4 linked regions of the Astyanax mexicanus genome follow. The main gene of each other region encodes a partner of the protein of the gene in region 2 in a complex. Links are inferred from orthologs where the notes say so. Each region holds a gene or a part of one and is shown on either strand. Other genes may lie near its edges. The genes, in order: ints11, ints4, ints1 and ints2.

Region 1 (7,442 bases), on a different chromosome or scaffold from region 2:
AGAGAGAGAGAGCACGACCAAGCATTGTGCTCGCTCGGACTCTGGCTGCTGAGCCACTGGAAGCCCAAAAGAACCTCCCTAGCTTTCAATGGAATTCAACTGCATTCAAAAGCATTTCTATTGGTACAGTTTTACTGCTGCTGTAGTCTTTCACGCTGTTTACTCAAACTATATATCTATACAGCTCTGGATAAAAAAATGGAGAGAGCACATCAGTTTCTGAATGTTTGAGTAAAATTAACATTTTTGTTTTATTTTAAAAACTATGGACAACATTTCTCCCAAATTCCAAATAAAATAAATTTTGTAATTGAAAGCATTTATTTGCAGAAAAAGAAAAAAAAGATGCAGAGCTTTTAGACCTCAATCAATATTTGGTGAAATCAATATTGGGTGGAATAAATCTGGTTTTTAATCACAGTTTTCATGCATCTTGGTATCATGTTCTCCTCCACCAGTCTTACACACTGCTTTTGGATAACTTTATGCTGCTTTACTCCTGGTGCAAAAATGTATTCAAGCAGTTCAGTTTGGTGGTTTGATGGTTTGTGATCATCCATCTTCCTCTTGATTATATTTCAGAGGTTTTTAATTTGGTAAAATCAGAGAAACTCATCATTTTTAAGTGCTCTCTTATTTTTTTTCCAGAGCTGTATGATTATTGAAAAACTGTTGGTATTGAGTTTTAGCATTTAGTTGACCGTCGCCATGAAACCATGTGTTTGGTCAAAAAGAAAGAGAGATAAGTGTATAAAGTGATAACAGCCTAATATAGTCATTATACGATATGAGATGAGATCCAAGATCTCAGTAGTAGCGCCAAATAAAACCAGCATCATTCCACACAGTCATTTTACTACACTATCTACTACAGTTCAGGCCAAAAGTTTGGACACAGCTTCTCTTTTTCAATGCGTTTTCTTTATTTTCATGATTATTTACATTGTAGATTCTCACTGAAGCATCAAAACTATGAATGAACACATGTGGAGTTTTATGTTCTTAATAAAAAAGGTGAAAATAACTAAAAAAACATGTTTTATAGTTTTTCTAGTTTCTTCAAAATAAAAGCCCCCCTTTGCTCTGGTTACTGCTTTACACACTCTTGGCATCATTCTCTCAATGAGCTTCATTTAAGAGGTGGCCACCTGAAATGAAAAGTTTTCCAACAGTCTTGAAGGAAGGAAGGAGTTCCCAGAGGTGTTTATTAGCACTTGTTGCTCCTTTGTCTTCTTCACTCTGTGCTCCAGCTCACCCCAAACCTGGATCTGGATTGGGTTCAGGTCCGGTGACTGTGGAGGTTCAGCTCATTTTTTATTAAGTACATAAAACTCCACATGTGTTCATTCATAGTTTTGATGCTTCAGTGAGAATCTACAATGTAAATAGTCCTGAAGATAAAGAAAACGCACTGAAAAAGAGAAGGTGTGTCCAAACTACTGTATATCATCTACTGCTGCGTCTTCTGCTATATCTAGGGCAGCTCCAGCAGGTTGTTCTGGGCGTACAGGTCCTCTGTGATCTGATGCACCTCTGAGATCAGGGCTAAAGCTTCTCCCAGCAGGGCGACCACCTCCTGCTCACTGCCTGCGTTCATCACCTGGAAGAAGGAGTCCCGGCCGGGCAGGGCGCAGAAAGCCACGCCCGTCGCCTTCCTGATGATCCAGGCGTGGTGCTGAGCCAGAGACTCGTTGTAGGCGTCCGAGCACATGACGGAGGTCTTGCTCTCCTCGGTGCTGGTGCGCAGACGCTCCAGGAACAGCTCCAGCCAGAGCAGAGCGCGGTGCAGACGCAGGAGCGTCCGGCAGCCCGACTCCGGGTGACTGCTCCTCTTGGTCAGGTCCACCAGCTCGTTCTCCAGCTCATACTTCACCATCGACTGCACCGTGAGGTAGTGAGAGCCGGACTCGCCGGCCTGGAGATTCTCCAGAATCTGGATTTTATTCACCGCGTCCTTAGAGATGAAGGAGAACACGGTTCCCAGACTGTTCATGAAGCTGGAGGGAGGAGAGGAGACGAATTATTACATTTTATTACTGATTTACAGTGCAGATTTCTTACTTACATACTTAGATAATCAACAGATTATCAAACAAACTTTAATATCAGACAAATATCAAACATAACCTGAGTAAATATAAAAAGCAATGATGATAATAAATTATGAATTTGTGTACTAAGGAAAAAAATGAGAAAAGTTTAAAACACATACACTAACACTTTAAAACACCAACACATCATTTCATAAAAAGAGCAGCATCATATTAAACGTAAAACATGGTGGTGGTAGTGTGATGGTCTGGGGCTGCTGGACTACATGTTGTAATAGAATAACTTTATGCTGCTTTACTCCTGGTGCAAAAATTATTTCAAGCAGTTCAGTTTGGTGGTTTGATGATCAGCTTGTGATCATCCATCTGATTATATTGATTTTATTCCAGAGTTTTTTTTTTATTTGATAAAATCATAGAAACTCATAATTTTTATGTTCTCTCTCATTTTTAATAAATTTGCTGGTTTAAGTTCCTGTAAAATGTAAAAGACAAAAGCAAAACATACTTTAACATGATTTCACTGTCCCTTTTTTAAAGTTTGATTTTTTTTTTTATATATATAACCTTTTCTCAGGACTGATTTTTAAGTGGTCTCTTATTTTTTTTCAGAGCTGTAAATAAGTATTTTATTATTTAATATTATACTGATCATATAAACAGTTTATATTTAATACAGTATTAAATAAAGCTCTAAAATCCTGACTGTACAGACTGTAGAATAAAGAAATAAGGGAAAAAAGAGGTTTGTCCCATACCTGACCAGCTCCTTCCACCCTGCTATATAATACTGGATATATATTTCCTTATTCTCACTCAGGCTGGATTTAAAGGTGTCCAATACATTCTGTAAACTAAACGACTCTGCCATGATCCAGATCTGCTACTAAACCAGCTGCGGATGAGCTGAGTGGAGATACGAGCTCAGGATATTAAACTTTAGGAGTTTTTACAGATTAAAACATCAGAGTTTATCAGCCTGATCTGATTCTACTGTACCTACTAACCCGGTCTGCTCACCGGCTGCGCTCCAATATCACACCCTGTGTCCTACCAAGGGCGCTCAGTGACGTGCTCAGAATTCCACCCGTCAGATTAAAGGACTTACCGAAACAAAAAAATAGTCAGATGTAGATTTTGTATTTACTCAAAACCTATTGATATTTTTTTAAAAACAAGTCATTTAAAATAATACAATTTAAAATTTATTTGCTTTTGAAAACGTATAAAAAACATGTTTGAGCATTTTGAGCGTTGTAATATATTGTTTTAAATTAATACTTTTGTCTAAATGTATACTTATTTTCACTTACAATAAAAGAAAATAAGTGAGCATTCAAGAACGGAAAGTGACGATGTAAAACACTTCTTAATCTTTATCTATTTTTCTATTTTTTTGTGAAACTATTTTGTGAAACTATGGTCAAGATAATTTTTAATAATACAGTCAAGTAGTTTTATTGTCAATACTGCATATGTACAGGACATACAGAGGATTGGAATTACATTCCTTTCCTTCCCAAAGTTACAACAAGTACAGCTAAACGAAATAAAAAATAAATAAAAAATAACAATATTGTAAAATAAAAAAATAAATAAATATGAATAATGTGTTTTATATATAATAATAAATAAAATATAATGTATATAATAAGAAATTTTCTCTTACTTTTGAAATCGTATTTGTTTGTTTGTTTGTTTCTATATAGTAACTATATTTTTAAGTTTTATTAGATTTTTATAGTAATTTATCTTATAGTTTTTCTTACGGTTTTTTTGGTAAGACTTTTATTTAGCCGGGTTGTAGATTGCGCAGTGTGCACCCTCTGGGAGCGTTGGTTTGGGACGCAGCCGGTTAAGTATTTAGTCACTCTTCCGGATACCTAAAGACCAGAGCTGGCAGTTCCACCAATCAAAGCAGACTGTTATATTACGTGCTTACTTTTAAAGCAAGCGATTGGCTGGAGGTCAGTGCATCAATCGGGTTCCGCCGTTTTGAGCTGTGGTTTATTTTTGGGGACTTTTATGTTGAATAAAAATTAAATAAGCGATATTATTTTGTTATTAGGTTATCCATAATTTTAATAATAATGATAGTTAATATATAAAATATATGTACATTAACTGTATTTTTTTCTTTAGTTTAACAAATTATCTTGTATTTTATCATACGTCTTATTTGTTTGTTTGTTTATTACATGTCTTTTTCGATATTCTAAGACTAAATTCTAATATTTTTTTATAATATGGACATTTAATATATGTATTTATATAATGTATAATGTAATGTATTTAAATAATATTTGTTCCTACGTTAAAAGTCCTTTGGCATTTTCACCAATCAAGCAGGCTGCTACATCACGTGCTCAATTTTGAAGCGGACGATTGGCTGGAGGTCAGCGGACCAATCGGGTTCAGTCAGCATGTCCGCTGTTTAGTTTTGAGACATTTATGTTGAATTAAATTAAATTTATATGTTTTTTATCAGTTTATCCGCCTGTAAACAGCGTGATTTGAGTTATTTAGATGTAGTTTATTGTGTTTATGGTGTTTAATATAGAGGGGAATTTGGAAGCGTTCAGTATGTAGTAAACTAGCAGCTCAGTATAAGAGTGTGTTAGTTAGCCGGTTAGCCGGTTAGCTTCTCATCTGTAGCATAAACTAACGTTACAGTAAATAAACCAGAACTACAATAATAATATTAATATTATAAGAATCTCCTAAAGCTCATAAAGCTCCTGAAGCTTCATCATGCCGGACATTAAAGTAACTCCGCTGGGTAAGCTGCGTTTCTGTACTGTTTATTGTTCTTACTTTTTATTCATTTATTTAGGTTTTATTTGGATTATTATGATCTTAGTTCTTTATTATACCTTCTACTATTATCACTCTGTCACTTATTACTCATTATTTTATTTTATCATTTACTTTTACTATTTTTATTTCTATTATCTATATTATTTTTATGAATTTCTTTATTTTAAATTTGATAAATGCTTTCACTTTTTGTGTGTTAATTTTTTATGGTCGTTTTATTTAGATTTCCCTCTTTTATATGTATATATTAATATATTATACATTTATATTAAATGTATTTATTTGAAGTGTGTATTTATTTTATGTATTAAAAATTTTAATTTTTTTATATAATGTTTTCAATCCCTTTTATACTGTAAATCCTCGGCTGCAATGTAAATAAGGGTCACCCTCAATGTACTCCAGAGTTAAAATAAAGGATAATTGATTTGATTAATTGATTGATTGACTGATAGATTAGAGCTGAAACTGTATAATTTACTAGGATACAGTTCGTGTTCTGAATCCTATAATCTCAGTAATTCTGTAATAATAGTTAAAAAGTCTGTGTTTTCAGTATTAATATGTGTGTGTGTGTGTGTGTGTGTGTGTGTGTGTGTAGGAGCTGGGCAGGATGTTGGGCGCAGTTGTATCCTGGTTTCTATTGGAGGAAAGAACATAATGCTGGACTGTGGGATGCACATGGGCTATAATGATGATGTAGGTTAAGCTACTGAAACTTACTGGAACTGAACATAAAGCTGACTGAGAAAATGTTATATCTTAAATATAAAACATATTCTGGTTTGTTTAAGTTTTTTTGTTTACTAAATAATTCCAGATGTTTCTCTTTATAGTTTAAATGAGTTTATTGTTAATCTACAATAAAGGAAATTAAAGTAATGATAAAACACAACATGTAAAGTGTGTCCAAACTTTTGACTACTACAGTAAATTGATATGGTTTTTCCATAGTTCATTTATTTTTTGCTGTTTTTTTCTCTTTAGAGACGTTTCCCAGACTTTTCCTACATCACGCAGAACGGACGCCTCACAGAGTTTCTGGACTGTGTTATTATCAGGTAAAAACACAAACCATCAAACCACCAAACTGAACTGCTTGAATTTTTGCACCAGGAGTAAAGCAGCATAAAGTTATCCAAAAGCAGTGTGTAAGACTGGTGGAGGAGAACATGATGCCAAGATGCATGAAAAGAAACTGTAATTAAAAACCAACCAGGGTTATTCCACCAAATATTGATGATTTCTGAACTCTTAAAACTTTATGAATATGAACTTGTTTTCTTTGCATTATTTGAGGTCTGAAAGTTCTGCATCTGCATTAAAAAATAGAACATTGACAGCACTGCTTTAAAGAATTGATGAACTGATTTCTGATTGGCTGCTGATCTCTCACAGTCATTTCCACCTGGACCACTGCGGCGCTCTGCCCTACATGAGTGAGATGGTGGGATACGACGGACCCATCTACATGACCCATCCCACCAAGGCCATCTGTCCCATCCTGCTGGAGGACTTCAGGAAAATCACTGTGGACAAAAAGGGGGAAACAAACTTCTTCACGTCTCAGATGATCAAAGACTGCATGAAGAAAGTGGTTCCACTCAACCTCCACCAGACCGTCCAGGTGAGTAACTAAACACACTGTTCATCAATCGGCAAGTCGCTTTAATCAATAAAGATTTTTTCCCCCCATAATTTCTATAACTAATATTGCGCATCATTAAAAAGATTCTTACATCGTACTAGTCTGCACTTCTTGAAGGTTAATAATTGTTTGCTCAGTATATTAAAGGAAGCTATATATTTATCGCATTGTTTATTTACTTGAGTTCAAATATCAAACAGTGCACACGGTTATGAAGCGCTTCCCTGCAGGCACAGAACACTGTTAGACTTTATCCTGACGTAAAATATTTGTCGTTTGGCGTCATGACCAACATTCAACCTGAAATGAACGTCTATTGGACGTTGTTGGCCAGCTCGGTTATTAATGGGTATTTACATGTAAATAAATGAATTTGATTTAGATGAAATTGGCACGGCTTCTTCAGAGTGTGAGTAGATCCAGACTTTAGAGCACCTCAGCCTGTTTACCTCGCTGTGTGTTTCCTCTGTTTCATGCGAAGTTTCTAAAATGAGCAGCAGAATTTTCTCTTGATTATGTCCCGGAGGTTTTTGGTAAAAGACAGAAACGCCGCTGGTGTTGTTGTTATTTTTGTGCTCTAGGTGGACGATGAGCTGGAGATTAAAGCGTACTACGCCGGTCATGTTCTGGGGGCGGCGATGGTTCTGATTAAAGTCGGATCGGAGTCTGTGGTTTATACTGTGAGTAATAATACTATAACTGTTTTCTGCTTCAATAAAAGCATGTGGAAATATTATACACTCTTTTTTTTAATACATGTATAATTTAATATATGTGATTTGTCCTACAGGGGGATTATAACATGACCCCAGACAGACACTTAGGGTAAGCATTGTTTTTCCTTTTTATATTTATATATTTAGTTATTCAGACTGTTTTTCTAATAATATTTAGATGTCGGAATTGGATTTAAAAAATATTTTAAA
Region 2 (7,001 bases):
AAGCTAGTTTATGAGGTAGATGTAAATACTTTCAAACTCATTATTTTAAAGTCCTTACAGCTTCCTCATCTGCTGAACTGCCAAGGACAGTAGATACAGATCCCTCCCTCAGACGAAGTCTGCTGGCTAATTCTGCAGTGTACTGTCTGAGGTGAAATGGCATTTCTTCAACTGATCTAGTGGGTGGGGCTCTGGTGGGGGTCAACGGGTGAAAGGTGGTTTCCTTAAGGTGACGTTACAATATAGGAGAAGCAACCAAATAGCTCATAGACGTTTATGATTCCTGAGACCAAACTCAGCTGATTCACAGAAAATGGATGGATGGATTTTTTTGGTGCTTGGAGTGTTTATAGGGGCTGAGTTTTGCATTTGTTCCTTTTAATATGTTGCATAAGAGACTAGCAGTCCATTTCCTTCATGAATAATTATCAGTCCATCTACGGAAATAACTTACTGTCATTATTAAGGGTGCTTATAACATCATCCACAATGCAGTCGGGGGAGAATCCAGGTGTTTTGGAGAGCAGTCCAAGCAATGAAGCAATCTTCAGCCTGACCGAGTTATCTATTTCCTGTTCAAAAACATATTTATAAAATAAAAGTATCACATTAGCAAGAATCCAGAAATCAAAACCAAAAAACATCACAATGTATATGTACATAACATCTCTGTTGTATATATATAATAGGATGTGAATCACAAGGGATTGCATGATATGATATTACGATAAGCTGCACACAATAAAGATGGTATCACGATACTGTGATTCTGTGATATTCAATATATCACAAGACAATTCTCTACAATACTTCACAGCATCTGTGTCACTGAAGAGGCTAGAATATTCCTAAAATAGTAATAGGGAGCGAGTCTAAGTTTACAGCACAAAGAGCGCCTTTGTTTCAATAAAAAAATAAATTGTATGTTGCGTATTTATAATGCATCGATGAATTGTCACATCCATAATACGCAATGTCATAATCCTAAATCTGATCAGTTTCCACTTTATTTCTCTATAATCAGCTGTGCATTTTAACATGGCCATGCAAAAATGTCTTACTTTTAAAAGAAGTCAATACTGATGCTGGGAAAATTGAATTTGATAAAGTTTTATTTAAAAATCTGCAATTTAAGCATTGCACGTTATAATTCTATTGTTACACAATTCTACCCGACTCACAACACACACTTACTTTGTAATAATGCTCCAGAAGGATACGAACTACACCCTCAACACTTTCTGCCTCCACTGGCTTACGGGCGAAGCTGAGGAGATACTGCAGGGCATCTGTGGGGTTGGTGGCTTTGCACAGGTCAATATGAAGAGCTGCAGATTTACTGGGTTTGGTCAGCCGGAGCTTCTTCGCCGGTACTTCTTCAAGAAGCTGTTGCTTAAGGAAAATTGATAATAATACAAATAATTTAATGACATAAGTTATATTAACCCTAGGAATAAAATTATTGTTTTAATACAATGATTTTCGAAATGAGATAATGATTATAATATATATTTAGATATAGAAGCGGAAGAGAGACATTTGACTCTGTTAGAAACCTTTAAGTAACTCTTATGTGTCAGCGATTTTCATATTTTACACTTTTCTTTCACTAAAATATAAGATTGTGTTTACACTTTTTTAATATAAAAGCCGCATGAAAGGTTGAAGAGGGCTGCTTACTATTCAGATTTGTTTTATTAAATGAAAAAGAAATGCTGCTGTCTGTTTCCAAATAAAAACTGAAATTATGTAAAAACTAAAGTGATTATTATTTTTTACAGTATTGCCCATCCCTAATTCATGTATACATATAAACACACAAAAGGTACAAAAGGGCAGACCCATATTATCCCTTGTAAAAAAAAAAAAAAAAAAGAAGTATACTTAGGAGCATTAAAAGTATGTTCAGATTAGGTAAATAAGGTTAAAAGTGCATTTTCTATTTAATATACTTTCTGTATTTCTATAAGATTTAGTTTAAAGCAACATGCATTAAATTATACGTTATACAAGTATATATAATCAAATATATGTAGTGGCATTAAATGCTGCTTAAAGTGCACTTTAGTGTAGTTTTTCCCCCCCAAAAGCATATGTGCAGCAATACGAGAAAGTAGAACATTTACAACATACTTTAAGTGTATCAAAAAGTATGCTTTAGAGACACAAATATACTTAAATCTAATTAAGTTTGCAGACGTTATTAAAAAAGGCACTTAAAGCACAGCCTAATGCTTTTTGTTATATTCAAATATAGCTTAATTACAATTAAAATAAACGTTTTATATACGTGAACGTATTTATTTTAATGCTAAAAGTATGTACTTAACTTAGCAGGCATAATTTTAAAATATATACTTCTTTTACAAGGTAACGTTAAGTCTTTTTCATTAGAGATGTAGGACATTATTTAAAAGTAATTTCCTTCTTTTTGTAACCTTAAACAGAAATATTATTTCTTTATTTGAAGGTATACCTGGTAGCTGCATAGACTTATTTATACTAATGGCTGAACTACTTAATATAAACTGTCTAACGTTATGTAAACAGTCTCAAACACAGTGTTTGAGTAATTATTAGCTTGGTTTGGTCTTTTTAATAAATGTATAAGTTTATAAGCACTCCTGGCGTGTTATATTAGTTACATATCAATACATTACTGAGTAAAAAACACTAAAAAACGCGTAAAAACTCTTAAATAAAGAGAAAATAAAGAGTAGTGGAGACTGTAGTTAATGAGCTGCTGATTAAAAACACCGGCGCGCGGAGCAGCATTAGCCCGTTAGCTAATCGCTCCAGCCGGCCTGCAGCAGCGCTTATCTCGGTGTAACTCTGAGTAATACAGTGTATTTCTGATAAACTGAGTTTTATTTACCTGAACTACTTTAGAAAATTCCTCATAAACCCTCTTCTTCAGGTGAGCAGCCATTTTAACAAACAGCCACCGCCGGGTTCGCCTCAGCGCGCTCTGTCTGTCCCAGCTCGCGCTTCTTCTTCTTTGTCGAATTAATGGCAGCCAGCACTCCTGTCATTGGTGCATTACTGCCACTTACTGGATAGAACATGAAATGCTGAATTCTAAATCCTATTAAACAGCCCAGATAATTTAAGAAATTTAATCAACTTATATGTGTCGTGAATCATACTATGTATAGATAGATTCCCTACTGCCCGAACTCCTCCAAACACCTCTTCCCTTTGTATATCATATGCCACACACTGTATTAAGACATGTTCTATAGTCTCTGGTTGAGAGCAATACAGACAATTGCCATCCGGATGTTTACCAATTCTGAACAGACTCTGATTCAGTCCACAATGTCCTATACGTACCCTAGTAAGTACCAACTCTTCCTGTCTATTTTTACCTCTAATTATTCTCTGTCCTACTAACCTTTGAAACTTATAAAGATGCCTTCCTTTTTGTTCCCCATCCCACATACCTTGCCAAGTCCTAGTTACATATTTTTTAATGAGCAGCTTAGCCTCCTGCCTGCTTAAGGGCACTGAAACATTAATAAAGTCCAGCGTAAGGGCTCGCTTTGCCAACATATCAGCACATTCATTGCCCTCCACCCCCACATGAGCTGGTACCCACAGAAAGCCAACTGATAAACCCAAATGCTGTAACCTGAGAAGGATCATGAGGACGTCATAAATAATGTCTATCCTTGATGACTTTTGACCGTTCGTTAGGCTTTTCAAAACAGTCTGAGAGTCAGAACATATTACTGTTCTCAAGGGCCGTACATCCTCGACCCAGAGCAAGGCCATCATAATGGCCACCAATTCAGCTGTATACACTGCCACATAATCTGACACTCTCCTAATAAGTTCCGTCTTAAAGGTTGGAACATACACTGATACTCCAGCTCTTCCTGAATCTGGATCCACAGATGCGTCTGTATAAATTTTGAGGTCATATTTATAATAGAGATCTAAATATGATAGTGTTACCTGATCTTTCATCACCTGCTTCCCATGTTTCTTAAACTCATTTTGCAATTTTAAGTCAACTTCCGGCATTGGAAATAGCCAAGGAGAAATTGGTGCCGCAATCACAGTTTTACATAAACAGAGACTTTCCAGATTCATTTGCCGAGCCAATTCACCCGCTATCCACCCAAAACTTTTACCTCTGCTATCACCATGTTCCCAGCAATCCCTTAAAACTATATTAGCAGGATGATCTATATCATGCCCTTTTATTCCCACCCAGTAGGACATGGCTAACTGCTGACGTCTAAGGTCCAGCGGTGGTTCACCCGTTTCCACTAAAATCGCTGGGTTTGAGGAAGATCTAAAAGCCCCACAGCATACCCTCAATGCTTGTAACTGAACTTTATCTACCTTCTGCAACACAGTTTTTGAGGCAGACCCATAAACAACACTACCATAGTCTATTGCTGCACGAATGAGAGAGAAATATATCTGCAGTAGCGCCTTCCTACTTGCACCCCAGTCCAGTCCAGCTAGACATCTCATTACATTAATACTATGTTTACATCTTGATACCAATCTATTAATGTGAGACTGAAAAGTTAGTTTACCATCCATCCATACCCCCAAATACTTAACTTCTGAGACCTGTGTCAAAGTCTGACCATACATCTGTAGCTGAACATTCGGAACATTTCTCATTTTAGTGAAACAAATTGCCTGAGTTTTATTCACTGAAAATTTGAAACTCCATTTAAATGCCCAGTTTTCTACCGCATTGATGGCCAATTGCATTTTCTTCTGGACCTGCCCTACATTACGGCCTCTTTTCCACAAAGCCCCGTCATCTGCATATAATGACTTTCCAATTCCTGAATCAACCATAGAAAAAATATCGTTAATCATTATATTAAATAATACAGGACTACAGACACTACCTTGCGGTGTACCATTGTCCACAGAATAAATTGCAGAGTAACTAGCACCTACTCTAACTTGGATAGACCTCCCAAAAAGAAAATCCCGAATCCAATTGAATAGTCTACCACCAATTCCCATGTTATACAGCTTAACTAAAAGACCTTCTTTCCAAATCATGTCATACGCTTTTTCAATGTCAAAGAATACTGCCATGACAAACTCTTTGGATACCTGAGCCTTCCTTATGTCTGATTCCAGGTATAATACAGCATCTATAGTGCTACGACCTTTCCGAAATCCACTCTGGTAAGGAGACAATAATCCCCTCCTCTCTAGTTCATACAACAAACGTCTAACAATCATTTTCTCCATAAGTTTGCACAGATTTGAAGTCAGAGCAATAGGCCTATAACTAGATGCATGTGATTTGTCTTTCCCTGGTTTTACTATAGGAACTACCACACCATGCTTCCAAGAATTGGGTAGGCTTCCTTCCTTCCATACTTTGTTAAATAAAGCTAAAACACACTGAAGAACTCTATCTGATACATTCCTCAACATAATGTAGCAGACCTCATCTTTCCCAGGTGCAGTCTGCCTAGCTGACTCTAATGCCTGTTTCAGTTCCAGTAGACTAAATTCGACGTCCAAAGGGTGTCCACCATCCTCACATCTCGTAATAATACACTGATTTAGCCTATTCTGCTGTTCCCTGTACAACCTTGCGTCTTCAGTTAAATTATTATTACTATGAATCGCAATAAAAGTCTTTGCTAAAATCTCAGCTTTTTCTCGGTCCGACACTGCTATCTCAGCCCCATGCTTCAGAACAGGGATACTACAGTCAACCCGTTTACCCCCCATTTTCTTAATCATACTCCACACATCAGCAACAGATGTTTGTCGTCCTAAAGAAGAACAAAAATCCCTCCAATACTTTCTTTTAGCCTTCCGAATAACATTCCGAGCTACTGCTCTTGCCTTTTGAAACTCAATTAACAATTGAAAGGTATGAAGGGACTTCAGAGCTCGAAACGCTTTACGCCGACTTTTAACACTCGCTGAGCACTCAGACGTCCACCACGGAACAACTTTCTTTCCCTTCCCACTGTTCGTTTTCCCAATAGCCTTGACTGCAGACTTACACAAAAGATTCTGAATCTTATTATTAAAAGTCTCCACATCATCCTCAAAAGAAATCTCATTAACCCCAGCCTCACATAAATCCAAAAACATACCCCAATTTGCTTTCCTAAAATTCCAACGTTTTACCTTCTCTATATCATGGACTAGGTCCAGACCTATTCTACACCAAATTGGAGAATGGTCACTACCCACCAGGACATCCTGCCTAACCATCCAATCAGCTATCCCAGCCAAATCACCAGACGTCAAGGTCAAATCTAATGCAGAAAATTGCCCCCGTGCCACATCAAACCTCGTCCCTTCACCTGTATTAAGACACACCAGGCCAGTACATTCTAACATTTCTTCCACCACCCTACCATTATGATCAGACTCCTTGCAACCCCACAAAGTACTGTGTGCATTAAAATCACCACACCATATAAATCTATGATACCCTTGGCCACTCACTTTTTCAAGAATATCCAAACTCAGTTTGTCACAAGGATTATAAAAATTAACAATCCGCACAAAACAGGAACCGACCCATACATCCACCATCACACTTTCAAAGTCTGCATTCACCTCTACTATTTTATAACTCAAATCTTGTTTAATAAACATTGCAACCCCCCCTCCAGAGCCCGTCACCCTGTCCCATCTGACAACCTCATATCCTTGTATCCTATAATCCAGACGTGGGTTTAACCACGTTTCCTGAACACATATAACACTAGGTCGTTCATTGCTACTATTAATATATTGCTTAAAATCCAAACCATTTGCAATCAAACTTCTCGCATTCCATTGCAGGAGAGTAAGGGCCACCATCACATGCCACTTACAGACTGTGAAGTAGCAAACTGCGACATTAAGGACTCATTTAGTTGGTCAACTGTTACACCTTCCATAGCCAGATGTTTCTCGGCTGCCCTAAGAATAATCCTAATCCTTTCAGTTCTGCTATCTGTTTGCGCTGAACAGTTAACTACTTCCACCATAAACGCGAGAAATTT
Region 3 (6,849 bases), on a different chromosome or scaffold from region 2:
CAAGATGTGCAAAACTGTCTGTATCTACGGACAAGGTGCTACTTTGAAGAACGTAAAGTATAAAACATATTCTGTTTTTTTAACATTTTTAGTTTCTAAAAAATTCTATGTGTTTTTCTTCATACGACTTAAGTATTAATCTACAATACACTGAGTATGAGTGATGGATCCAAACTTTTGACTGGTACTCTATGTGTCATGTGCCAGTATCTATTTAATTATCTTTATTTAAAGAGGTGTGCATAGACATTTGGACATACAGTGCATCTCCAAATGCCTATGGCAACAGAGATATCCAAGCATTCACAAATGGTACAAAGACGTGGTTTGATTAATGTGATCTCAATGAATTAATGTGAAATGTCTAGTATAACATCATTATGCACCATTTATTTTTTTACATTATTTTACTGCATTTAACATAACTGAGGTTGTGGAATCACCACCCAATAATTAAAAAATTAAAACATACAGCCAAACTATTTACATCAATTAAATTATATTATCCTAATGTCAATCTACAAAAAAAATTCACTGCTTATTTTATCACTCCTTCGATATATTCAATATATTATATCCAGCACTCTGTGTTATGTTGCTGTGCTGTGTTGTAAAGCTAATTATGTAGTCATGATTTTTTTTTTTTTTTTTTTTTTTTTTTTTTTAAATAATGAATATTCTGTTGGAATTCTGGGATAGTTTAGCTACTTGCAGTTCAGACTACAGTTCAGACAGTTCATGTGGAATGAGGTGGATATTTCAGTTTTAGACTCATTGAATGCAATAAAATGCAATAATGCAAATGCTAGAATGCCTCACCCTCAATAGGCACAACAGACGGCTCCTTGATGGAGGGAGATATTGCCCGTTTGTCAACAGCAGCTACTTCAGCCAGTCGTGAGAGAGCGCTGGGAGGGGTGGAGGAGTGTTTCGGCCGTTTAGCCAGGCTGGACAGGCCTGAGGAGGACGGCAGAGCTGAGGAAGCCTCTCTCTTGCGGTCTGCCGGTAAACCCGCAGCAGCTGGTTTCAGCAGTGCTGGATTCGCCTTGGCCTCACTGGCCTGGCTCTTAGCCCCCAGAGCTATGAAGTCTCCTGGAGGAGGATGACCTAAAGAGCAGCAGAGGAGATCATTCAGTATAAATGTATAACATACAGACTCAAAACACTCACTACTTCTTACTGTATTTGCATAACTAACTCATATCACGTACCTGATGTTTTGGCCCCGCTCGGGCGCCTGATGCCGGTTGGCTTTGGTCGATTCATGACTTCAGTATGATGCTCAACTTCTAAGAACTGAAATACAAATAAACATGTATTACATGACAATATAGTTTCGTAACATTAAAATGGAGAATACTACAACACTAGGAATAGTACATGAAGCACCCTTCAGAGCACTGATCACCCGAACACGATGATTATCTGAACGACTCTGGAGAGTTTAAAGCAATAAAACTGGAGAATCAGAAGTTACATCAGAAAATAATAAGCTGAGAGGGGATGCCAGACACTCTTCTTTGGATTAATGTGGACATGCATGAACAAATACCTTGTCTTTGCAGACCCTTATTAAATTGTTGCAATAAGCTCTGCAGGTGTTAGTCCAATATTTAAATTATATTTGATTTTAAGAAGAGGTTTCAGACCCAAATTCTTCTCAAAACTATAATAAAAATGTGTCTCGGATAGGAGGCAGAGTATTCATAACTTTGTAACAGTGTAATAACTCTTACTATGAGGAAGATTTTAGAGATTCAAAAACATCTAGAAAATGTTACTTAATACAGGACACTTTACTTGCATGACATTTTAATCCGTTAATCCAAGAGTTGTGGACAACCTTATTTATCCTTCAGCAGTATTTAATGTCACTTCTTATTTTTCCATCAACACAACGTATAATTCAAAGCTTATTACTTAAAAATACATTTTATGGAAATATTTAAAAAGTACATATGTGTTTTCATAAAGTAAATGAAATAAAAAAAATACTTTTAGTATTGTTTACCCAATTTGAACATACTTTTAATACTCCTAAGTATAAATCCTTTTTACAAGAGGTGACTTGATATATTACATATTTAGAGATGACAAAGATGACGAATATACAGTCCTAAGTTCTAGACCTCCTCTTTATTAAGGAGAGTTTTTAGAGGTGCAGAAACTAACATACATCTAAAAACTTACATAAACACAGCAGAATTTATATTAACTTATATTAGATCTGGCAAAGCAGATTTGGCAGTTTTTTTCATGGGCATAACCCACATATTTAGCTCTGCTGCTCATCTTACAAATTAATGTTCCTTACAAATGTTGTTTTATTTCAAATAGAAATTAACAGGCTTTAAAAATGTATAAGATGTATTATATAAAGGAGCAGTTACAACAAGGAAGTACCAAATCTAACTAACAAACTCAAAAGCCCTTGCTTTTTGTGGCATGTTTACATTAGGTAGGTTAAGAGTTTAGCTAGCTTAGTTAGCTTAGCCCGTTTTGCTGTGTGTTTGCTGGGATATTTGGCTATAATACAATTTTAACAATAATGTGCAGCTAGTTAATAGTCTGGGTGTTGAAACATAGATATATTAGCTAATAATTAATCATATGGCTTATATTAAGTGTTTAAGTCTGTAGAATAATCATGCTAACGCAGCTTAGCTTAGCTTAGCTAACCTAGCTTCACTGTAGTAGGTTAGTTCATTGAGACGTTAGCTAGGTTAGCACTAGCATTAGCATTAGCAGGAGTTTCCAGCACAATACTGTAGAATAAGAGCCCGTAACACAGCTAAATTCCCACATTACAGCCCTGCTCCACTTATTAATAACTCAATACAGATTCAGAGCTGCAGTTAATATGAAATAATCAGTAATTTTAATAATAATAACTCACTCTGTCTCAGAGCCGCTCCTCCATCATAACAACAGCGCTGTCTTTAATCCAGAGCCTGAGAGCAGCGAGCAGCTACCGGCTACCGGCTACCAACTACCTCCCCCTGCTGATCAGGAGCTCCCCACACTACCGTATACAGGTGCATCTCAAAAAATAAATAATTATCAGTGAAAAGTTGCATTATTTCAGTAATTCAGATCGAAATGTGAAACTCCTATATTAAACAGATGTATTACACACTGAGTAATCTATTTTAAGCCTTAGAGCCAATGAAAACCCAAAAATCAGTGTCTCAGAAAATTATAATATTATAGGAGACCAACTGATACGTTTGGCAGTGTGCCAAGTCCTGCTGGAAAATGAAATCTGCATCTCCATAAAAAAAGTTGACCAGCAGATGACATGGCTCTCCAAACCATCAGTGACCATCAGTAAATTTTACATTTCATATTTCATTTGGAAATCAAGGGACCATGTGAGGAGATGTGGATTTCATTTTCCAGCAGGACTTGGCACACTGCCCACACTGCCAAAAGTACCAATTGGTCTTATATAATATAAAAATTTTCTGAGACACAGTTTTTTTTAAATCATCAACACTATAGGAAATACACGCTTAAAATAGATCACACTGTGTAATACATCTATATAATATATGAGTTTCACATTTTGAACTGAATTACTGAAATATAGTAATTTTGCTGGACAGTCAAAGCCCCAGTTTTTACTTTTTAATTAAAAACTGCTAAAATCAAGCAACATAACTATACTATACATGCCCTTGTAAAATATAAGTGTATTAAGTATATTTTTTAAAAGTATCCTTAACATGAAAAAGTACATACTGTTTAAAATTAAATACTAAATGGACTATTTTGAAACAAATTATTGCAACTTAAGTATATTTCAGTTGTAATTAAGCTATATTTAAATACAACATGAAAGCATTAGATTGTGCTTTTGAGTGCGGCTTTTTTTATATAACTTCTGCAAACTTAAGTAGATTGAAGTATGTGTTTTTAACACCTTTTTAATGCACTTGAAGTATATGGTAAATGTACTAATTTGCATATTGATGCACATATTGTGTATACCTTAATGACATTGGGAAACAATTGGGGAAAATACACTAAATTGCACTTTAAGCAGTATTTAATGCCAATATGTTTTCAGTCAACACAGCATATAATTGAAAGCATATTGCTTAAAAATACATTTTACAGAAATACAGAGAGAGTACATATGTGTTTTTTCGTAAAGTATATGAAATAAAAAAATACTTTTAATATTCTTTACCTAAATAAAGCCAACCCTTGTAAACAGGAATTATATTAAGAGTATTAAAAGTACTTTTAATACTCTTAACTATAATTCCTTTTTACAAGGGTTGGCTTGATATTTTACTATTTATTTGGGCCCTGGTCATTTGGGTGCTATTAGAGGTGCAGAAACTAACATACATCTAGAAACTTACATAAACACAGCAGAATTTATATTAAACAGAGAAAGTATATTAAATTAAAACATGTACTTTTAGTATTCTTTACCTGATTTAAACATATTTTTAATGCTCTTAAGTATACTTCCTTTTCACAAGGGATGGCTTGATTACAATATATTTTCATGCTGTTTCCAGAGGAGGATTACTGAGAAAACCCATAAACCCCACCCTAAACACCCCACCACACCCCATCTCCTCAGTAAACAGTGGTGTGTATTGCTGCCCCCCTGAACTAACTGTTCCCTACTGCTGTTTTTACCAAACGTTAGTCAGCAGTGCTCTGATTCCAGTTGATCAGCTTAACCTCCTGCTGAATAAACCATGACTGGAGCTCTTCTGGAGACACTGAATTAGGCTGTTTTCTCGAGAAGCCGAAGAGTCACAAAAAAAGTCACGTTTACTCTGGATTCTTCTATTTTTTATATAATTAACAACACACTAAGAAAATTACGTACAGCAGCCTCATACGCCAGTGTTTCTGGTAAACGGAGCAGGGCTGGGTGGCACTGTTGCCACACTGGAACACTCTGAGAGCTGCGAGGAACGCGGCTTCCAAGAATCCTCACATTACAAAATGATGTCAGGCATGGAAACAGACATTACATGTGCCTGCCAGACAAAAGAAAACAGAACTTTCACCCAGAAGAGAACACCACAGAACACACATACACAGTAAAGGCCCTGCTGCTCAAAACAACATGTGCTGTAACCTGATCCCTGGTGTGAAAACACACACACACTCACACACACACTTACACACACATACACACACAGGCCTGGCTACAGTGGCATGTATACTATATAGCGGTAATGTATCCCTCTGTCCTGCAAAAGCACAGAGAATGGGACTATCCTTTTGGCCTTTTCAGTGACAGCCTTAATAAAAGCCCCCCAATAACATCACCATACTGTGCGTCCGGTCTCCCGTTACACTACATTACCAAGAGATGACCACAGCACAGTTTCCCACTCCTTGTAGGCCTATTCTATCAATGAGGAGGAGATATTAACCCTTAAAACTCTGTGGAGAAGTTTCACTGAGAGGGATTAAAGGAAAACTCCGGTGTAAAATGGACTTTTGATGTAGTAAAACAGCTCTGTTCTCCCACAGCGTTCAGAGATCCAGAAATTGTAACAGTTTGTCCCAACACCCTTTAGACTAGTTGACATGGGGCCTAATCTGCCCCGATAAATCGATTTTCCCATCCTATAACGTGAGCTTCAGCTCCGAGCGCCGCCATCACTGAACTAAAAAATAACATAGACATACATACAAGGGGTTGGACAATGAAACTAAAAAACACCTGTCAATTTAGTGTAGAAGGTTCCATGGCAAAATTGGAGCAGCCTGGTGGCCAATCTTCATTAATTGCACATTGCACCAGTAAGAGCAGAGTGTGAAGGTTCAGTTAGCAGGGTAAGAGCACATTTTTACTGAAAATATTGCAATGCACACAACATTATGGGTGACATACCAGAGTTCAAAAGAGGACAAATTGTTGGTGCACGTCTTGCTGGAGCATCTGTGACCAAGACAGCAAGTCTTTGTGATGCATCAAGAGCCACGGTATCCAGGGTAATGTCAGCATACCACCAAGAAGGACCAACCACATCCAACAGGATTAACTGTGGACGCTGTAAGAGGAAGCTGTCTGAAAGGGCTGTTCAGGTGCTAACTCGGATTGTATCCAAAAAACACAAAAAAACACGGCTTCCCAAATCGTTGTTGGAGAGAGCGCCATCTACTATACCCACCCAGATAAAGCATGGCTAACTGTGCTCTCTCGAACTCAGGCTGCTGATGTCGAAGCATCAGGGATTCAAACAGGCAATCCTTGGATAATAGAGAGGTATACAATTCAGGTTCTCTGCCTGAGCCCCAGCACTTTCCTCGGGCCCTGAATGGATCAGGCTCAAGAAAATAGTCTGAGATTTTGTTTTGTTTTTTTATTTTATATAAAGTTATGGCGTGATAATAACAATATAGCATTATACCGGAATTCTTAATGAACAGAATTCTTAAATTTACATTGCATATATGGCATTTAGCTGATTTACAAGGTTATTCCTATTACAGAGGTGGACCAATGTAGTGTTAGGAGTCTTGCCCAAGGACACCTATTGGTGTAGCAAAGCATTAAGTCACCCAGACCAGGAATTGAACCCCAGTCTCTCATGTAATTTAGTAGCTCACAAGCAGGTAGTGGTGTTAGCCACTGTGCCACACCAATAGGCCTGTTCTTCCATGTTGCGCTGTTCACTGACATCATACTACACAGATTTTTCTCATTAAAACAACTAGGAATTGTAGCTAAAAAGCTCAGTTTTTAATGCTCTAATTGCTAAAACAAATGTTGGGCTCTTAATAACAGTTTATGTGGAGGGTCGGGTTGGGCGCGAACAGAACCTGCGCAGGCTTGGGTAGGGCTGTTCTGGATTTTTTGGCCCGATC
Region 4 (7,978 bases), on a different chromosome or scaffold from region 2:
TGTTAGAAAAGATTAAATCAATCAGGGTAGATTTGGAGGTTTTTTTTAGGTTTGGCTGGGTTGACTCAGTGATCAGCTGTGAGAGGATGAGATCTTGTATCCATTAATTTTAAAAAGCATTAGCAGCTACAGTAAAAGCAGATTTACAAGTAAGCATATTTTACTTGGAAATTCCAGAAAGTACTCAGAAAGTAAACTGCAGCTACAATATCTACCTGCTTGAAGGATGCAGAGGACATCGGCTACCTCTTCCAGGTACACAGGACTCTCAAATAGCTCAGAGGTCTTTAGAAAAAACTCCCCATTGGAGTCAGCTACCTGTATAACAAATAAAACTGATTTGATTAGATATCTTGGATGATATAATCAGTTAAAGCTGTTGTATTCAATTATTAATATTATGCTGTTTGATCCATGTTTCCCCATAGCTCTAGAGAAACAGAATTTTACTCCACTGTATACTTGAACTCAGATGTAATGAGCCTCTCTACGCTTGAAATAAAAATGCACAAGTGGGTTGTTCATGTCCACACAAAACATTGACATAAGAACCTTGTTCATGATGGCCAGCAGCTCACTTAGAGACAGTCTGAGTCTCCTTAGTGGGTCACTGTGTTCAAACTCCAGTGTAAGCCCATGCTGCAGCTGGGAAACAAGGATACTCTCGCCATTTGACCCTCCAGCCTTATGCCTGTAATGAGAAGACAACACTTATTTAAATGGTTGGTGTGTTTTTTTTGTTAACAAACAAAAACATCTAATTAGGTAACACTTCCAATGAGAACAATAGAACAACCAGGGAAATGTGAAGTTCTATTTTTTGGACAATCGATACTATTATAAATATATACTATTAAAACACAAGGTCTCCAACTGTGTCCTAACGTACCACATTCAGGTTTTCCAATCAATTTTCCATAAACAAACCTCATAGGAATACTGCAAACCAACATGGACAGTGGAGAAAGTGTTTAAATGCAAAACTATTTTAGAAAGGCCTTTTACAATTCCTAAAGCACAATTTTATTCATCTAAACAGGAATGCATGTTTTTTCATCATTCATCATTCATGTACACAGGAAACTATATAGCCCCAGAAATACCCTAGCGTATTAAAATGTTGATGGGTCCTTGGGGATTCACCTGAGTTGCTGTTCTTTCCTGGCATCCTGCTCCAGGGCATGAAAGTCCACAGAAAGCAGTGCCACTATGGAGTTCACTGCCTCTACACCGGACAGCAGGCGCAGGATGAGCTTCTTATCCTGTGCCCAGGCATTGCTCTGGTCAGCAGGGGCACACAGTGCCATCCTCACCAGGCATGGCAACAGAAGCCTCAGCTCAGGATCACTCAAAGCTGCAAGGCGCATCACGTCCACCTTCTGCATGGCCTCAAAGGCATATGGGCTCACAAACTGAAGCCCTGAAGTTTCTGTCATTCTGCTCTGCAAAAGGAAACACAAGTTCACAGGGAAGTTACATGATCATCACCAACACTAGAGATTAGACATATCCAGTTAATTTGGCAAATTTTTAGCTGCATTCACACGTTTAGGTATTTTGCATAGTTATTCAATGCAGCGAGTTTTTATAACTATTTTAAGCCTACAGATAACGTGTCCATGTGGCTTGGGCAGCCCAGTTGAAAACCAGAAGAAAATCGTTGAAGTGATACAACCAGGAGGGATTAAACATGGGCCCCATCGTTGTTGTACACTGCACTGGTGCCTGTAAACAATAAAAACCAGCACAAACCCACTCAGAGCCCATGCCCACCTGAAACCTACCCAACCAGCCTATGTTCCACATGTGAAAGTTGACTTAATGTAATAAACCCTGCAGCCTAAAGTAGTCCACCAAAAAAGGAATCAGTCAAAGCTAACGCTACATAACCGAGCTAGGTTAAGTGGCTAGCTTGCTAGCTAACAATAGTAAATATAGAGAGCAGTAATTTTGCTAGTTACCTAACTAAGTGCGTCATGTTTAGTAAGTACTCGTGGTTGTGCAACTAAAATGAACTAAAACCATTTGCTTAAATGCGCAAACGTTATTCTTAACCTCGCTGAAGTCTGAAGTGAAGATAGCTAGCTAGCTAGTAAGCATAGCGTTGGCTGGCTAGTTAGCTAGCTCAGTCCAACACAAACGATAGTGGTTAACTACACCAGTTTTTAGCTACCAGGCAGCTGTGTGCCACGCTTCACTAGAATATTGTTTATGTAACTGAGAACTTCTTACCTGGAACTTTACAGCAGCTTGTAAAAATCTGAGAGACTTTAGCGAGGCCCGGGCAGACAATGCCGTGGCACCTCAAGCCGACACACTCGGCTAACAAGCTGGCTAGCAGTGAAAGCCATTCAACGAGATCCGAACCGTTCACTTAGCTCATGCACGTTAGCGAAGCCTGAAGCTGATCTACAGTTAACGAACCAGATTATTTAATTATTCCTAAAACAAGTAGCGTTAGCTAGCCACCACTGTTTATACTTCTATTAGTTTAAATTCTTCTGCGAAGCGCTCAGTACCGACTAGCTTGTTCTGTGAGCTGCAGCGCAGCGGATGGCCGGGCTAGGAGGCTAACAAGTACAACACAAGGCTAGACCTCGGGAAATAAAGCACTCATGTTCTGCAGATGACCTCGGTTAGCTAACCGAGCTGCAGTGGACGTTTGGAAGTTTGTAAACCCCTTTCATACATTGTGCACACATATCCTATGAAGCAAATCAAACAAATGAGAAATCTATTTTATTCAGGGAAATTGTTCAATATTACATACAAGTGCATTAAAAAATAGAATATAATTAAATTGTTTATTATTTCCGTATTTTAGTTATCTTTTCATTGCGCTTATTTATTCAACTTTTAATGTTGATTAGCTTACAGCTAATGGAAACTCCAAAATTAGAACAGTTACGTTACGTACGTCGTTTTAATGCCATACCAAAAAAAAAACAGTTCACTTCACACACTGGCTGCGTCCAGCAACTTTTGCTACTCCTCTCCTACCCAGAAGAAGGTGGAGGAATGGAGGGAAGGAGCTGTAATTGGGGAAATGGGACAGCTGATCCCTTTTAGATAGGATGTTGACCACCTTTGAACTGAGCCAATCACAACGCTCACTTTCAGCACATGCCGGATACTGCCCAGCCAATCACAGCTTCCGCATACAAAAATAAAAACGAGAAATCAATAAACACAATTCCAAATTCTAGAGATCATAACTTTGACAAGCATATTAAGCTTTAAAAGTACAGCCTGATGAAGGTTGCATATGTAAATATTAAATTATTTTAATAGTAAAATGTGATTACATTGAATGTAATAAAACAAAAAAACTAATTAATAAATAATAAATATAATAATAAATATATTTTTCATACATGTGGAAATGATGTGTATATTTACAACAATATGTTACATATAGGGTCATTAATATAGTTTTACTGAACACACAGCTTACCTAAACTAAACATTTTATTACTGCTTTACTGGCTGTTTAATTAGACAAGGAACCTAGTTAATTAATATGCTTATGAAGTACATTTGTGCGTTGTCTTCTCCATTCCCGCGTGCTCTGTGGGCGTGGATGCAGTGATGTCATTGGAAAATCACTAAAAGTCTTCCGGAGTAGGATGCACTGATGTAACCTCTGTTGGAAGCCTATTCGAGGCAGATTTTAAGCGGCTTCTTTCGTCTCCTACGGTATTCGGACAGGCGGCAAGATGGCGTTACGAAATCAGTTTCCGGGTCACGGAGGAGAGGAGGAGGACCGGTAGGAAAAAGGAGACACTTTTGGGGTTTCTGGACGCACGAGGCTGAAGTTAGCTTCTTATTCGCCAGTGTCTTATTCAGATTTCCGTTCATGCTGGCTGAACATACATGCGGCCGCCTGTAGATGGCGCATTTTAACAGTAAAAAACAGCATGCAAGCAAAGCGCTGTGCAAACGCTCTGAATAAAGGGCAGAACACATTGCGAAGTGGAATAAAATATGAATAAAATTAGATGATATTAATTAAAACGTTATAGCTTTCACTTTTGGCCTAATTCCCAGGCCATTATCTCGTCAGTCTTAAGTCGTCTAGAAAACTATCATACCTAATACACACTAAGACTGTCAAAATCCTAAAGAAGGACAAATATTGCTGTGGATTTTTCCACACTCATTTATTTTTTAAACTAGTTGAAAAACACTGATCAATTGAGGTATATTGTTCAGCAGCTTTATGTGGTGTCTTGTTGCACTCTAGTGGTCATTTGAAGAAACAACTCCAGTTCTTAAATTGGAAATAGCCTACATATAGTGTATAAGTTTTGACCTGATTGGTTAACATTCAGCCTGTCAAAAGCTTGCTGGAATGTGAATGTGGCTAATAGTGACCACAAAAAATGACATCAATTTTTCCTTTGTCGTCCCATTAGTACATAGACAATAGATGATAATTGCCAAGGCTGAACTTGATAGCTTGTATGGTTCTAGAGAAAGAGTAACACTCCTGTGGTGTATGTCTGGATAAACTGACAGGGTATCTGAGAATCATGTTATGATCAAAGGACTGAAGTGGTATTAATGTTAATAAAGTTGTAAGTGTTAGAAGACATTTTGCTGCACCATGGAAGGACTAATTTGCATATGGCGGACATATTGTTTATAAAGTTCAATATTTTTAAAATAATTATTAAGGCTTTTGCTTTGCTGAGCTGTTTGACACCAAACATGTCATGATTGGTCAATGAGCCAATGAGAAGTTCTCAAAAGTATGTTTTGCATACTATGCAAATTTGCAAAAAACCTAAGTGGGTGGAGCACAACAAGAATGACCAATGTGGCTGACCAGCATGACCAAGAAGGATAAAGATGTTCAACCAGCAAGACCAGCAAGTTCAAATGAGCTAGAGAGTTCAGCAGAGCTTTAATTTAAAATTAATAAATTGCAGTTGTTTCACCAAATGACCACCAGAGTGCAGCAAGACACCATATAAAACCTGCTGAGAATCTATCCATCTGTGAGAGAGAAATATGCTTATCATTAGATTTTTAATGATTGTAGAGAAAAGTCCGATTTGGCTCAACATTATTAATCATGATCAGGTAGTCTGTATATATATGTTTAAGCTTTTGTGTTGATAGGGTCAAAGCTGAGGTCTTTTAGTTTTGAAAATAGCAATACATTAGGCCTCAAACCTTCACAATCACAGTAGATTTTGTGGCCTTTTATAGGGAAAAAAATCCAATATGACTTAAAATTGGGAATCAAGATCATAATATCAGTGTATATATATGTATGTAAATTTGTATGTTAATAGGCCCAAAGGTTCCTGTCTCCTGTCCATTTAGGTTAAAAAATAGCGATAAATGGTAAAAATGTACAATAGTTAATTTGTCAATGTAGAGCCTCCTGAAGACTCACTTAGCTCATACTTGGCACATGGGATTGAAATGTCATTGTTTATTGGAGTCTTCAATACTTTTGACATGACATAAACTTTGACAGAGTTTCACGTACCTGTTTGATCAAGGTGTTGGTGCCACAAAAAGTTAAAATCTCAAGATTTTTTTTGATAATTATTTACCTCTCAAGATTGCAGCAAGGCCAATGCTGATTTACTTGGTTGAATATTCAAAGTTTCGAAAAGTGTAATTTTTACACTAATGGCCACAGATGAAAAACAATGCATTTTTGGTAGAAATATGTAATTACAAAGGCTTCAGCAATGCATAAAAATCAAAAAGAATAATATGCTTATGCTACAAGTATATTCTGATTTAACTGATTTTCTGCTATAGCGCCCCCGAGAGGCCAATCAATTCAATACTTTAATGGATGATAGGAGGCCCTTATTTACATAAAGACAATAAGTTTCGTCGTCATTGGTCAATGTTTAGCCTGTCAAAAGCTTGATGGAATCTAATAGCGATCACAAAAATTTTAATATCAAATTCTCTCTGAGAGTACCATTAGTAGATAAGCCCTCACTGGTATTTGCCAACTATGAGCTTGGTAGCTTGTATGGTTCTTGTATGGTTTTCCATCATTGGCTCCGCCCCTTGGGGGCATAGGGGAGACCGGGTATGAAAGTAACACTTTTTGGAAAACACCCCAAACTACCTATTTTTAAAAAGGTACAGATATGAAACTTTTTGACAAAGCACCCACATTTGTCTACTACAAATTATAACCATTTAAATGTCCTCCATTATATCCCATAACTTGTCAGATCATGTCAAATACAGAGTGTTCTTTTGTTACAATCATCCCACTACCGGGGTAGGTTGTAACACCTGCCGGGGTCAGTTGTAACAGATAAACAAAAATACAAAGAAAACAATGGAACTTCATTTCATTTGCCAATTTGTTTACTTATTTATTTATTTTATTTATTTACTCATTTATTTATTTAGTGCTAACCAAAAATTCAATTGAATTTGCTCAAAAAAGGACTGACATATCCAACACGTGGAAGGTCCTTTGAGCCCTGGTCTTTTAAAACCTTGAATTTTTCTGTAGTATCTGTACAAAGTGACTGATTGTCCGTTCTTAACCTCCTCTGCTGCTCTTTCTAGAATTTTGGCATCCACTCCTCTTTCTGTTTTCCTCACCCATTCTAGGCATTCTGGAGAATTAAAATCACAAAAAAAACTATAATGTTAATGCCCGGGGATGGTTGTAACATTTCCAAAAAGTCTTGTTACAACCTACCCCACCCCTGTCATTCTTTGTTTAGCTAGCTAAATAAGCATGGTGCTTTAACATTAGCAAGAGACAGTTACACCATTCATTACTCCATAAACTGTACTTTCACCTGATATAACACTTACAACATTAACAGCAATTGCAAAAGACAAAAAATAAAAAATAAAAATACTTTATCTCAGAATTTAACTTTTCCTTGTAGTTTGAAGATAAATGATGTCGGTGGCTTGAACATTTCCTTGGACTATCGGAATGACAGTCTCCCCTATGTCTACATGATTTGACCAGGTACCTCAAAATCATGCTAGTAGGTCTGAAGTGGGTTTACTGTCAGGTTAAGCATTCAATGTAACTGTAAGAGTTAGTTTGGCTGTGCCATGGTAATACTAATTTGCATATGACGAACATATTGTTTGCAAATTTTAACTTTTTTGATAATTATTAAGGTTTGTACTCTGCCGAGTTGTTTGACATTAAACATGTCAGGATTTGGGACTAGTTTGCCAAAGTAGGTTTTGCATATTATGCAAATTATTAATTGGGCGGAACCTCATAGCCTAATAAGCCTAAAAAAAGAATTTTGTCAATAGAACCTATGGTTCAGGAGTCAAAACTTAAACGGCTTTGCTATAGTGCCAATGAAGGTATGCTTTAGTGGTTGCGTCATTTTACACCTTCACACTATAGCACGTAGTTATTACGAAAATAAAGACGTAACGAGAATAAAGACGTAATATTACGAGAAAAAAGTTGTTATATTTTGAGACGTAATATAACAAGAAAATAAAGTCCTAATATTATGAGAATAAAGACATAATATTACAAGAATAAAGACGTTATATCACGAGAATAAAGACTTAATATTATGGGAATAGACGTAAGAAATTCTCATAATATAACATTATTTTCGTAATGTAACGTCTTTATTCTCGTAAAATTACATCTTTATTCTTATAATATAACAAATTTGTTCTTGTAATTATTTTGTCTTTACTCTCGAAGTGAACTGTTTGTTTTTTTGGTATGGCCCTAAAACACCATATGGTCCATTCCACTGATTGGGTGCCATTTGCTTGTTTTTTTTTTTATCTTTTTTAAATCTCTAAATCTAATAACACATATATATTCAAAACATGTACTGGTCATTCTTGTGCAGCTTTTTTTTTTTTTTTTTTTTACAAAGTTCGTAAGAAATCTGTTTCATAAGAAATCCGGTTGTGACCCTGTCATTGGCTGCTGGGAATAAACCCTGCCCATTAAGGTCATTCCACTCACTCACAACAGCACAAC

What was found.
Region 1: the proteins of ints4 (region 2) and ints11 are in contact, whole or in part, in a cryo-EM structure (PDB 7BFP), measured with the Homo sapiens proteins. The link is inferred for Astyanax mexicanus from reciprocal best matches to the Homo sapiens genes INTS4 and INTS11. Residues at the interface, in NP_291025.3 of Homo sapiens: Leu159, Asp161, Thr162, Arg167, Tyr203, Gln207, Asp244, Ser292, Gly294, Trp296, Arg299, Lys323, Met326, Ser327, Asp328; in NP_060341.2 of Homo sapiens: Pro183, Trp191, Lys194, Asp212, Gln288, Gln400, Gln404, Lys462, Met465, Ala466, Leu469.
Region 3: ints4 (region 2) and ints1 share a complex: the UniProt entries of both Homo sapiens proteins name them as parts of the integrator complex. The link is inferred for Astyanax mexicanus from reciprocal best matches to the Homo sapiens genes INTS4 and INTS1.
Region 4: ints4 (region 2) and ints2 share a complex: the UniProt entries of both Homo sapiens proteins name them as parts of the integrator complex. The link is inferred for Astyanax mexicanus from reciprocal best matches to the Homo sapiens genes INTS4 and INTS2.

Annotation. Positions count from the first base shown.
Region 1 is NC_064420.1:440,152-447,593, forward strand, and holds the start of ints11 (integrator complex subunit 11), read left to right. Parts: upstream 1-4,434; 5' UTR 4,435-4,802; coding exon 4,803-4,830; intron 4,831-5,469; coding exon 5,470-5,567; intron 5,568-5,855; coding exon 5,856-5,929; intron 5,930-6,266; coding exon 6,267-6,495; intron 6,496-7,097; coding exon 7,098-7,196; intron 7,197-7,306; coding exon 7,307-7,341; intron 7,342-7,442. Other genes in the region: ceramide-1-phosphate transfer protein, read right to left, coding at 1,475-1,997, 2,810-2,922.
Region 2 is NC_064416.1:5,384,282-5,391,282, forward strand, and holds the start of ints4 (integrator complex subunit 4), read right to left. Parts: upstream 3,010-7,001; 5' UTR 2,930-3,009; coding exon 2,876-2,929; intron 1,393-2,875; coding exon 1,195-1,392; intron 573-1,194; coding exon 455-572; intron 1-454. UniProt on the Homo sapiens protein: Component of the integrator complex, a multiprotein complex that terminates RNA polymerase II (Pol II) transcription in the promoter-proximal region of genes.
Region 3 is NC_064410.1:57,377,588-57,384,436, reverse strand, and holds the start of ints1 (integrator complex subunit 1), read right to left. Parts: upstream 3,010-6,849; 5' UTR 2,897-3,009; intron 1,297-2,896; 5' UTR 1,267-1,296; coding exon 1,212-1,266; intron 1,108-1,211; coding exon 820-1,107; intron 1-819. UniProt on the Homo sapiens protein: Component of the integrator complex, a multiprotein complex that terminates RNA polymerase II (Pol II) transcription in the promoter-proximal region of genes.
Region 4 is NC_064427.1:13,883,739-13,891,716, forward strand, and holds the start of ints2 (integrator complex subunit 2), read right to left. Parts: upstream 3,011-7,978; 5' UTR 2,918-3,010; intron 2,640-2,917; exon of another isoform or gene 2,233-2,639; intron 1,443-2,232; exon of another isoform or gene 1,438-1,442; 5' UTR 1,437-1,437; coding exon 1,144-1,436; intron 692-1,143; coding exon 553-691; intron 319-552; coding exon 216-318; intron 1-215. UniProt on the Homo sapiens protein: Component of the integrator complex, a multiprotein complex that terminates RNA polymerase II (Pol II) transcription in the promoter-proximal region of genes.